Regions from separate parts of the Mus musculus genome. Here regions 1 and 3 are each reported to be linked to region 2. Evidence: microRNA targets listed by miRTarBase, many of them from high-throughput screens and not tested one by one. Region 2 holds a microRNA gene; each other region holds the end of a gene's coding sequence.
The links. Region 2 holds the annotated microRNA mmu-miR-673-3p (UCCGGGGCUGAGUUCUGUGCACC, at 1,404-1,426, shown strand). A microRNA usually pairs through its seed, bases 2 to 8, with sites in the 3' UTR of a target mRNA and lowers its output. Matches are read on the target gene's strand: a 7mer-m8 pairs with bases 2 to 8, a 7mer-A1 pairs with bases 2 to 7 and ends in A, and an 8mer does both.

Region 1: miRTarBase lists Inpp5e as a target of mmu-miR-673-3p. Seed matches in the 3' UTR shown: 7mer-m8 at 1,881-1,887.
Region 3: the mRNA of Tox4 is a reported target of mmu-miR-673-3p. Seed matches in the 3' UTR shown: 7mer-m8 at 2,761-2,767.

The regions. Positions count from the first base shown.
Region 1 is chr2:26,394,492-26,398,491 of GRCm38, reverse strand. It overlaps Inpp5e (inositol polyphosphate-5-phosphatase E), which reads left to right. Exons shown (of 10, transcript NM_033134.3): 10 at 521-2,243. The coding sequence ends at 653. It overlaps Pmpca (peptidase (mitochondrial processing) alpha), which reads right to left. Exons shown (of 13, transcript NM_173180.3): 12 at 3,323-3,467; 13 at 1,371-3,073. The coding sequence ends at 2,904. Among named protein-coding and RNA genes, the nearest start is that of Pmpca, 7.1 kb to the right of the region's middle.
Region 2 is chr12:109,570,641-109,575,001 of GRCm38, forward strand. It overlaps Mir673 (microRNA 673), which reads left to right and starts at 1,350; the gene lies at 1,350-1,440. It overlaps Meg3 (maternally expressed 3), which reads left to right. Exons shown (of 10, transcript NR_027652.1): 10 at 751-1,089. It also overlaps a transcript of Rtl1 not described here.
Region 3 is chr14:52,292,594-52,296,593 of GRCm38, forward strand. Tox4 (TOX high mobility group box family member 4) reads left to right here. Exons shown (of 10, transcript NM_023434.3): 9 at 1-90; 10 at 608-2,916. The coding sequence ends at 668. Mettl3 (methyltransferase like 3) reads right to left here. Exons shown (of 11, transcript NM_019721.2): 9 at 3,923-3,988; 10 at 3,481-3,593; 11 at 2,248-2,500. The coding sequence ends at 2,389. Among named protein-coding and RNA genes, the nearest start is that of Mettl3, 11 kb to the right of the region's middle.

The DNA.
Region 1 (4,000 bases), not on the chromosome of region 2:
TAGGCGAGGCCTAATGTTCCACGCAGCCCCTAGGCTATTATGAATCTGCGTCCATCTGAGCCTCAGTCCCAGCTGCTTCTTAGGGCATAACTCCCAGGTTACTAATCTTTGTGGTTGCATGAAGAAACGGCTTGTTCTGTGACCTGCTTCTCTAGGGTTGAGCAAGCTCCTGGAGGCATCAGCATCACCTTCTTTTGGCACAACAGGGTTGTGGTTGGGGCTAGAGCAACCTAGATGGGACGAAGAACCCTAACCTCTGGGCAGTGGCCCATTTCCTATGGGGCTCAGCAGGTGTGCAGCTGAGTGAAGTTGAGGCCAGCTCTTTTTTTTTTTTTTTTTTTTTTTTTTTTGGTTTTTCAAGACAGGGTTTCTCTGTGTAGCCCTGGCTGTCCTGGAACTCACTCTGTAGACCAGGCTGGCCTCGAACTCAAAAATCGCCTGCCTCTGCCTCCCGAGTGCTGGGATTAAACGCCACCACGCCTGGCAAAGCCAGCTCTTATTAAAGGTCTTTTTTTCACAGCATCCCATTAGCTGCCGGCAAGTTTGACCGAGAATTGTACTTGATAGGAATTAAAAGGCGGATTTCAAAGGAGATTCAGAGACAGGAAGCACTGAAGAGCCAGAGCTCCAGTGCAGTTTGCACCGTGTCCTGAAGATTCCAGACCAGGACTGGCCACAGCAACGGGGGCCAAGGTCACTGCAAAGGATGGGCTTCTTCTCAGCTGCTCCTGTAATGCTGGGATTCTAATCCACCACGGCCAGGGGCTCCCTGCTCTCACCACAGACCCAGCCCTCAGGACATTTATACCATGTTCCCACAGGCACATGGCAGGGCATGTGGACACCAAGCAGCAGTTTTGTCCTCAGGAGTAGTCCAGACTTCTTGCCCTTGAGCACTGCTGTCTCTTCAAACTCCTTTTATTTATTCCTGTTCTCATGCTAGAGCCCAGGTTCTCCATCTGTATCCTCCTAGTAGCTCCTTCCCTCCAGGGAAGGATCAGGCAACCTCTGGTATCCTAGATGCTCAATGCCTAGAACCTGCCAGGACTTCAATTCTGGGATATTCCCTACAGACATTTTGACAGGCTTTGAGGTTCTACATCCTGGTCCCAGGCTCCCAACCCCCAGTTGAGTAGGGACCTCTCCACTCTACAGGCCAAGCCTAGCTATATTAAACTCATAGTTTTTAGGAGCTTCAGACCATTTGCTTTTGTGCTGCTAGTCCCGGAAAGGCATGAGAAATTGTTACCAGACAGCACCTTGCTGGGTTTCACTCCTTGAAGAAAGCTTAGGAGCATCATTGCTCTCAATCTTACCCCACCCCTTCAGACATAGCCTTGAATGTACAGACACCTAGGGGCATCCACTCTAGTCTTCTAAATCATTTATTTTTCCATATTTATATTTTTAAATAAATAAGGATATATTCAATTGTAAACTCTTTCTGGCCAAAGAGTGAACCTTGGAAGAAGTCTGCATGCATCTTGGGGCCTCAGGACACCCCAGGGTTTTAAAAGGACATAGAAGTCAAAGGCCAAACATTTGGTCTCAGCTGTCACCTGCTACTCAGTCCCATCCCAGGTCTTTCTGCTAGGTACTGTCCCTGCTCACAGCCAGAAGCAGCAATAGCTGGAAAAAGTGACGACTTGGGACTCCAGTGAACCATAATAAACCAACGAATAAGGTGAAACTCAACAGCATCAGCTTCTCCAATATGGAAAGTCACCTGCTTCAATAAACCACTGTGAACTGCAAATTCTACTGGGAAGACAGCCTTTTCTCTCCCAGACAGGCTGCCCTGGACTTCATAATCCTGCCTCAACTATTCCTGGCTTGAATAAGGTTTGATGTGGTAAGAGTTCCAGACAGGTTTCTCTGTAGCCCCGGCTGTCCTGGAACTCTCTGTAGACCAGGCTGGCCTCGAACTTGGAGAACCACCTGCTTCTGCCTCCTGAATGCTGGGATTAAAGGCGTGCACTACCACAGCCCAGCAGTTTGGTGCTTCTTTGTGGACATTCTCTGGCACCTTAGAAAAGACTGAGGTAATCCTGGAACTTCCCAGTTTGGCCCAAGATCAAGATCATAAAGTCTTAGGGGTCGGGGGGCAAAGTACAGCCATAGCAATTTACATTTAGATAGCCTTTACATTTAGAGGGCATTTCAGTTGGAAAAGTTAAACACGTAAACTAGTGCAGATGAAGTGGGAAATTAAAACTGGACTTGTAAATAATTGTGAGATACAACTGGCATGGTGACTCTTACTAGAAAGACCAGTAACTGAGGCAAAGACAAGCTCACTGTGAGGCCAGCCAGGGCTAATTAGTATTTTATCTCAAAAAACAAAGGAGAAGATTGTGAAATACCTTTAGGCTTGTTAAAGAACTTAAGCTTTAGAAATGAGGCCAGGTGTGGTAGCACTTGCCTATAATTTTAGCACCTGGGAGGCAGAGGCAGGAGGGTCTCTGAGTTTGAGATGAGTATATCTTATATCAAGTCTCAAGCCACTCAGGGTTTTACTGTGAGATCCTATTTGAAGGGGAAAAAAATGAGTACAATTTATGCCAGTGGTTCTACCAATGGGTAGGCCCTGTGTGCTTTCAGAGTGTGGCGCTTTGTCTCCCTAGAGTCCCAAGACTTTCTAATCTTTCCCAGCCTTCCTTGCTCCAGAAACATCTAGTGGCCAGACAGCACCTGCTTTGGCAGATACTCAGGAAAAATACTTGTTAGATGAAAAATAAGCCACTTGTGTTTGAAAGACACAAAAGTGCAGTGGCAACAGTAACTTTCATTCAAGTTTCCAGAGTTTCACTGTTGGCACTGTTCACACAGCTAGCTAGCCTTATGCAGTGTCTACACCAACAGTAACATGCACACAAGCACTCTACAGCCAGCTCTAAGGGACTCTACCGGAACAGCCGGTATGATCTGGGCAGGTGTCCATTTCTGCTGGACAGCGCTGCCTGGATGTGCTCATAGGTGGGTAGGTCAGTCAAATCACCCAGGGCAGCCACAGCAGGCTTGCCACGGAGCATCTTGGAAGCAACCCTCTTGATATCTTCTGGCTTCACGTTGCCTACAACAGAGAGTAAAAGACAGTGAGGGCAAGAGTGGAGTTTCCAACTCCATCTCAAACTGTGTGCACTCAAACAGTGACCAGATGCCTCCTTCCCAAGGCTGAGGAGCCTATTAGTACAGGATGGAGCTTGCAAAGGACTTTGGGGAAGCCGGGGATTGTGGTATGGCAGACAACAGGAGATCCGTCTGTCTGTTTGCATCAGGGCAGTCTCAAATGATCCCAAGCCAAGCTTTAGGGCATACTCACGAATGAGTGTACATAGCTCGTGGGGCAGCTTTCTTGAATGTGTAGCCAACACCTGCCTCCCCACATCCTCAAAAATCACAGGCCTGGACTCCAGGTTCATCATGAGCATGGACATGAGCTGTGTCTTGGCCCGCTCTAGCTCCACCTGAGGACCAAACACCGCAAGTCACCTCGACAGCTGGCTCAAGAGGGGCTGACCCAAACATGTCTCAGCAAAGAAATCTCCATGTGCCCAAAGATGAGTAGAGTGGAGGGGCTGTCCCAGTCTGGTTTCCAGTCTGGCACACTCCGAGCATGGGAGGAACTACATTGGAAAAGCCTTCATCACACCGGGACAGAAACACATGTCCAATCTCTGCTGCTTGTCTGGATCACAGGAGAGCAACATGCATCAGGAAGCCACGCCTGGCTGCACGGGCAACCCGAAGTTGTTGATGAAGCAAAGATTCTGGTGGTCAGTGTCCTAAACAGAGGACCCAGGCTACTATCACCTGGTGCTACCAAGGAGGCAGCAGAATCAACATTGAGCCTCTGGCCAGGTGTGAACCTCAAATGTAGCACCAAAGAATCAGGACCACAAGGGACAGAGCAAGCTGGGTGTGTGGGCGCTCGCCTGTACGCAAGCTCTCAGGAGGAGGCAGGGCAAGAGGACTGTAAGCTTGAGGCCAGCTTGGCTAT
Region 2 (4,361 bases):
CTGCCCATCATATGGTGGCTCATGAGAATCAAGGTCTGAGTTCTGGTCATCCTTGTCCCTTGTGGAACGTGTGGTGGCCTTGGCTGTTTGCCATATCCTAGAAATAGTCAAACCAACCTGGTTTGATTGGGGGATTCAGTGAGGTTTTTTTTGTGTGTGTGTGAAAACGAGTGTTTTGTTGCTTGGTATGCAGGTGCTCATGTCTGCTAACCCATACTGACTGTTGTGGAGGTGGGCCCTGGGTACAGATGTACCTTAGTTTCTGAAACTTCAGGTCCATGTGAGACTCGGACAGAGTGGAGGGCAGGAGGGTAGCACCTACCCAGCTCTGGAGCGACATAGAAAGCCTTGCTTTCAAATGTTAGGATTCAGCAGTTTTGATGGGAGGCTCTGAGATACAAGACCAGGAAGACTATTAAGAACACCCCTCTAGGAGGGCAAGGCCAAAGTCTTTGGAAAACCACCAAGGTTTAATAGACTGTGAATTGGCTAGAAGTCTTGGGGGTGGTATGAGAAAGATGGAAAATCCTAGAATAGGTTTTTATTTATTGGAAAAGTCAGGAGCTGGTGTGTAGGTGTTGCCCCACCCCCATGGCTGTCCAGAAGTTGGGCCTTCTACATAGCTCAGGCTTTCTGAGCACAGGGCTGGGTTGCCCCCTCCAGTTCCTACCCTGCCTAGTGCATGAAAACTCTTTATCTGCCATGGGGATGGGGAGCAGATGGCTTCATCTGCAGCTGTGTCTCTCTCAGCCTCTACAGCCACGGGGACGCCTTGCACATTTCCTGTGGGACATGCTGGACCCAAGACTCTGGACCCTGGCCTCCCCTTGAGTAGAGAGACCCACCTACTGACTGATGAACTGCGCTGACCCTGGGGTCAGGCATGTGGCCTTGATCCCTACCCATGGACCCTGAGACTTGGGGGGGTGGGAGAAAGGCTGTTGTGTCTTCACTGTTGAGTCTACATCTGTGAAATGGGCTCAGGTTCCTACCTCACAGGGCTGTTGTGAGGCAGCCGCAATGTGCTTAGAAGCATGGGGCCTAGTGGCTCATGGTGCTTTCAATAAATTTCTTGTTTTAACTAAAGCAGTGATGGGTGTGCTACTAATACGAGGGAGGGTGGGTGTCTTGCTGGGGCTTCCTTTTGTAGTGTAGTGGGGTAGAGGAGTTGCCTCAAACCCCAGAAAGTCACCTTTGTGCTGCCCTGTGTGTGCTTAAGAGATGGATACACTGGGGCCCGATGAAGGGCCTGTGCTCGGTGGGTTTAGGAGAACCCTTTCCTCGTGTGCTCGGGATGCCAGTTTCCTTCTGGAAATGAAGCCATGCAAGAGCTGTGGGAGGTCTGGCTTTGGAGCCTGAGGGGCTCACAGCTCTGGTCCTTGGAGCTCCAGAGAAAATGTTGCTCCGGGGCTGAGTTCTGTGCACCCCCCTTGCCCTCCACACTCCCCGGGGCTATGCCAGGGCCCTAGCTGAGGCGTCATCTTGACCCAGATGGGTGGTCCCATTGGGACTTGGGGCCAACACAGCTTCTACAAAAGTGGTTCCTGAATGGGTCTGAGTGAGTGCTCAGACATTCATGATGCCTGGCATCAGGTATGCTGGTTGAGCTTGGGGAGGTGAGCCCTACCCTCATGGCTTTTGAGAGGCCTTGGGGGGACAGTCAGGCTGCCTGAGCAGCTGAGAGGAGGGAATTGGGAGCAAGGGGATGGGAAATGGAGCTGAGTTTTGGTAGAGCAGATGGTAACACGAACATTACCCCAGCAAAGAGGAAGATGACAGTCATAATCACTACAGCTGCCACATGTCTACCAAGACCACAGTTGCCACACAGTGACCAGCATCTACTAAGATCACTGCTGCATTGCCACTGCCACCGCCACCGTCACCCCTCCCCTTCTCTCCTCTTCCCTCTTTTCATCCTTTTTCTTCCTCTCCTTCCTCTTCTGACTTTTCTTCTTCCTCTGCCTCTTCCCTACACGTCTTTGCTTTTTCTTTTGATTCTTCATCTTCCCCTTTCTTCTCTCTCCTCTCCTTTTTTCCTCCTCTATCCTTCTCTTTCTCCCCCCTTCTGTCTTTCCTCCTTTTCCCACTTCCTCATTCGCACCGAGAAGCACCTGGCAAGTGCAGCTGCATGCTCTTCTGAACACCCCCTGCCAAGAGCACCATCTTCAAGACTTGGGCATGACCCAGCCTGGAAGAGCCAGTACCAGCCATGATGGGGACTTTGGCATGTGTGATTGAGTCGCAGTGCAGACAACCGTGAGAAGACATGCCTCCAGATGCTGAGCCCAGCCGAGAGAGTCCAAGAGCCCAGAAGAACTCTTTGAAACTCAGGCTTCCAGAGTGAGTGCCCTAATGCTGCGTTACCGAAAAGGCCTCCACTTCAGCTTCTGATGGAGCCCAAATGTCCAGGAAAAAAAAAAAGACCTTTTTGATATTCCCAAGAAAATAACTCATCTCCAGCTTTCAAACAAGCCTCACATTTTGTCAGTGTCTCTAAGTGGAGTTCTGTGTTTATAGTCCAGCCCTGAGTCCCAACCCAGCCTCTGATGAGGATACCCAGCTTCAGGAGTCTGCTCATGTCCTTGGGCCAGCACATCAACTCCAGTCTCTGACAGACTCTGGACATCCAGGGTAAGCCCTTTTGATTTGTCAGAGCACAGAGCCCAGCTTCAGCCTCTGATGGACCTCAGGGACCAAGAAGGAGGGGCTTTCTTTTGTGATGTTCTAGACCTGGGACTCTAACTCTCGCTCATGTGTTCAGTCAAGCCCAGAAGACCAGAAAGAGGTAGTTCTTTGATATTCTAGTGCCAAGCTCCAGCTGTAGCCTCTAAGAGAACTCCTATGTCTAAAGGAAGTCTTTCATAGTCTAGACCAGTCACCACCAAAGCATAAACATCTGGAAACTGTTCAGTTTTCTAGCGCCAGGAATCCACCTCCAGTCTCTCACAAAGCCCAAATGTCCCAGAGAAATGGACAATATAAAACTATAACTCAACGATGGTTCTTGAAGAAGCTCAGAAAAAGAGACCGCCTTGATAATTTTGATCTAGGACTCTAGCTTGTTTGTCTCCAGTGAAGTTTGTATGTGTAAAAAGAGGAACCTCTTTGATTTTCTAGAATCAAGACTCAATCTCTCTCTGATGAACTGTAGATATCCAGGAAGACTGGCTCTTTTGTCGCTCTAGAGCTAAGACTCTGGCTCCATTCTTGAGTGATGTTCAGATGTTCACAAATATGGATGCTCTTGAGGGAGAACTAGTGTGAGAACTATACCTTTAGTCTTTGATAAAGCTCAGAATTCCAGAACTAGGACCCTCCCTCCAGCTTTTGAAGCTCAGATGTCCAGAAAGTGGGACCTCTTTAACGTTTCAGACCTAAGAATCTACCTCCAGCCCAGAAAGAGGGACTCCTCTGATGCTCCAGACCTAAGACTCTACCTCCAGCCTTTGATGAAACTCAGATGTCCAGAAAGAGGGACCTTTCTGATGTTCCAGCACTAGGACCCTCCCTCCAGCCATTGGTGAAGCTCAGATGTCCAGAAAGAGGGACCTCTCTGATGTTCCAGATCTAGGACCCTCCCTCCAGCCATTGATGAAGCTCAGATGTCTAGAAAGAGAGTCCTCTATGATGTTCCAGTTCTAAGAATCTACCTCCAGCCTTTGATGAAGCACAGATGTCCAGAAAGATGGCCCTCTCTGATGTTCCAGATCTAGGACCCTCTCTCTAGCCTTTGATGAAGCTCAGATGTCCAGAAAGATGGCCCTCTCTGATGTTCCAGATCTAGGACCCTCTCTCTAGCCTTTGATGAAGCTCAGATGTCCAGAAAGATGGCCCTCTCTGATGTTCCAGATCTAGGACCCTCTATCTAGCCTTTGATGAAGCTCAGATGTCCTGAAAGAGGGACCTCTCTGATGTTCCAGACCTAAGAATCTACCTCCAGCCTTTGATGAAGCACAGATGTCCAGAAAAGAGCATTCTCAATGATGTTATAGACCCAGAACTCTATCCATCTATAGCCTTTGATGACGTTCAGACATCCATAAAGAACTTTCACAATGTACTAGAACCTGGACTCCATCCCCACTCTCTGATGTCCAGATATCTAGAAAGGGGACCTCCACTCTGTTCAGAAGCTAAGCTCCACCTCTAATCTTTGATGCCCAATTATCCAGAAAGAGGACCCTTTACGATGTTCTAGAACAAAGACTGTACTTTTCATTTGCTGATGAAGCACAGATGCCAGAAGCACAGAAGTCTAGAAAGAGGGTCCTCCTTAACATTTTTGAGCTAGAATCCCGGTTCAAGGTTCTGAAACTTAGATACCCAGAAGACCTCTTTATAGTGTTCTACAATTCTGC
Region 3 (4,000 bases), not on the chromosome of region 2:
TGTGAGGTCTGGTTGTGAGAACCCTCCTGTTGTCAGTAAGGACTGGGACAACGAGTACTGCAGCAATGAGTGTGTGGTGAAGCACTGCAGGTGAGTTTAACAGTCCTTATAAATCAAGAGGTAGTGAAGTGAAACTGTTGGGGAGCATGGTACCCGTACCCGTGTGGACTGAGCATGACCTTATTAGGCAGAGCCACTTGACATGTGTGGGTGGGTAGGTATCTGATTAGAGATGCTCCTAGATGTTCAATTGCTTAGAGATGAGGATGTAGCTCAACTGACAACTGCTTGCCTGGCATGGGTAAGGTCCTGATTTCAATTACCAGTGTCAAAGAATTTGGTGAGGGATAGGTAAGGGGGAAAGTAGCAGAGTAAATGCTAAGTGTAGAGAAGGTGAGTAGTAAGTGAAAACTTTGCCCTTCTACCAAAATATCCCAGGGAATTACCTATATCCGTGAAAGGGCATATGTGTCCTCTACGAGGTGGATTGGCACAGTCTACCACATCTGACTTTTAGGCTACTTGATGATGTTATACTTTGGAGATGTAGGGAAATATTTGGGTATGGTTTTGCTATAATAAGTTTGTATGTATCTTTCTCTCTTAGGGATGTATTCTTGGCCTGGGTGGCCTCTAGAAATCCAAACTCTGTGGTGTTTGTGAAGTAGCCTTCGTCTTCTCCAAGCCTTGAAGATTCATCTGCTGAACACGAGTCCAAAAGCCTGTTTTTTTGTTTTGTTTTGTTGGTTTTCCAGACAGGGTTTCTCTATGTAGCCCTGGCTGTCCTGGAACTCATTTTGTAGACCAGGCTGGCCTCGAACTCAGAAATCCACCTGCTCTGCCTCCCAAGTGCTGGGATTAAAGGCGTGCGCCACCACCGCCCGGCCAAAAGCCTGTTTTTTAAACACAAACTGGGCTTCTGTAGTGCCTGACCTTTACCCATAGTCCTTCATGCCTCCATCTCCCTTTTCTTTCTTCAGCAGAGGCCAGACTATGTAGCAGGGCCAGCAAATTCACTGTAATTTAGAATTGCTTTTTACTCTCAACTGTAAGCAAAATTACCAGCTTACTAGCAAGCACAGGGAAGAGTGATGGGAGCAAATCATAGGGGTCATTAGAAGAAACATACCAGTAAAACGGTCAGACAACTTGCCTAGAATGTCATTGGGCGAGTGCTTTGCTTTGTTCTCGGCAGAAAAAGCTCTGGGAGAAGAGAGACTTAGGGTTTCAGCTCAGTGGTAAAGTGCACTGGGTTTAAATCCCAAGTGAAGGAGGAATGAAAATACTGATTTAAAATAAAATGTGTGATAGCCCTTTAAAAGGGAACTATTATTGATATACACAGTGCTATTAGGAGGAAGGTTTGAAGGCCTGGGGTTATGGCTTAGCACTATAAAGCTCTGAGTTCAGACCCCAGGCTGGAAGATCAGGAGTTCAAGGTCATCCTTGGCCCACTAGTGAGTTTGAGAACAGTCTAAGATGCATGAGGTAAAGGTTTTACAGAACATGGTGGCCCGTGCCTTTAATCCTAATACTTTGGAAGTAGACAGGAAGATTTTTGATCTGAACTTAAATCAGACTTTGTCTCAAAAAATAGACCGGGTGTGGTGGCACTCCCCTTTAATCCTACAACTTAGGAGGCAAGAGGCAGGTTGGATCTCTGAGCTTGAAGTTAGCCAGGATTACCTAGTGAGATCCTATCTTAAGGTCCCCCTCCCTGCTCCTGACAAAAACACACAAATTCTGTTTGTCTCAGTCTTAGCACATTGGGCTAGAGGGGAAACGACATCATCCAAAACGATCTTTTTCTGTACAAGTATTTCTTTACCTGACTTGGTTACCAGTTTTGCATGTAAGAAGCAGAACTCTATACCCCTAATAAGAGGTTTTACAAAGTAAAGAATCTGTGTTTGATGAAACATCTTTTAAATGTGCATTCATTTACATAATGCATAGGCCAATTTTTTATATTCTAAGCTCTAATTTTAATTGAAGGTACCTTGTTTTTCTTAGAAATTAGCTACAGACTAATAAACCAGCAAACGTACATAGAATAAGCAAAAGTTTAGAGTACCATATGCATGGTAAAATTCAAATTAATCCTGTTTATAGCATATTAATTGCTAAGCACTGTGAACCTGTGTAGTCTTTTCTAACACGCTAGGTAGCTAACATTCTTCTTTTACTTATAATGAATCACGCTAAATAAGAGTAGCACAAGGACACACACTAAGTGGAAAGCCATAATTTCACTTCAGAAATTCCAATTATAATACAAACTTTTATTTATTTATATACAGGGTAGGGGACACTATTGCGTAAACAGTCCTCTTAAGGTGTGGCCTGTAGCCCATGGCTCTGAACGCTTAGCTTTGTAAGGAAGTGCGTCTATAAATTCTTAGGTTTAGAGATGATGCCGTCCGGATACCTTTGCTTAAACCTGGCAACCACATCTGGGTCTAGTAGGTGTATCCCATCCAGTTGGTTTCCAAGAGTAATCCTAAAACAAGGGGGAAAGAAGAGGCAAACCAAAAATCCTGTAAGGGCTTAATACTTAAAATGTTCTACTTTCTGGTGATACCTATCTCAGGCTGTCCTGGAACTAACTCTCCATGTAGACCAGGCTAACCTTGAACTCAGAGATCTACTTGCCTCTGCCTCCCAAGTGCTGAGGCTAAAGGTGTGCTCTACTATGCCCAGTCCACGTCAATTTTTTTGGTTTGGTTTGGTTTGGTTTTTGAGACAGGGTTTCTTTGTATAGCCCCGGCTGACCTGGAACTCACTTTGTAGACCAGGCTGGCTTCAGAAATCCACCTGCCTATGCCTCCTGAGTGCTGGGATTAAAGGCATGCGCCACCACGCCCGGCCTACATCAACTTTTAAAAAGATCAGAGCAAATAATATGGCAGTGTCAATACAAAAACTGATTGGATTTTAATTTCTTTGGTGGTCCTAAGAGTTGAACCTAGGCACCTTACATATACACTCTTAAACTCTTAACACTACCAGCCCCCCTCCCCTTTTGAGACCTCTAAATAAGCATTGGCAGGCCTTAAGCTTGCAATCCTCCTGCTTCAGTCTCATGCCCCAAGATCCAGCCGGATCTGTCTATCTAAGGATTAGTAATTGATGGTAGCCAGGCCTACTTCATTCAGTCACTGCTAGTGAATAGTCCTTGGATAATTAAAATGCTCACCATTGGCATCAAACATTAAAACTGACAGATTGAATAAATACTTAGTAGCCACTAGGGGGCAGATTTAATATAGCCCACAGAATAGCTGACGATCCTTGGGCAGTTAGAGCTTTAAGAACAGCCCTTTGGGTTCTAATGAATGTTGTAGATTCTGGTAAAGCTTAAGCCATCTAGACTACCAGAATGTATACAACTCAGTGACATCTGTCTTTGTCCATAAAGGGTTTTTTGGGGGAGGGACGGGCAGGAGGTAGGGAGGCAAGAGCCTGTTCTCTTAATGTTACCAGTTGGGCTGCACATTGTGTGGTCGTCCAAATAACTCAATCTTGCGGGTGCCAGGGGACAGTCTCTCAATCATGCCATATATTTCATCTGGTTTATGACTGGTGGAACGAACCTAGAAAATAAAAACTCAAGCTACTTTAAGTTATTCAAGATTGCTTAATAGATAGAGAAATGGCTCACAGTTATGAGCACTGGTTGTTTTTCCAGAGGACCTGGCTTCAATTCCCAAGACCTACAGCTCATGACACCCTCAAAAAGACATACATGCAGGCAAAATACTGATACACATGAAATAAAAATAAATTTTTAAAAAGTTACTCAAGATTGCAATTCTAGTCTGGTCTGTGTTACCCAAATGAGGAAAAAAAAAAAAAAAAAATGGAGACTGACAGGAGTATTGAGTGAAAGTCTGAAAGCTTTAGATGCACAGGGGACACATACCTCAGCTACAATCACATCGCAGTCCAGGCCCTGGTTGAATCCTTGAGGATTTCCCTTAACACCAACCTGCTCATCACA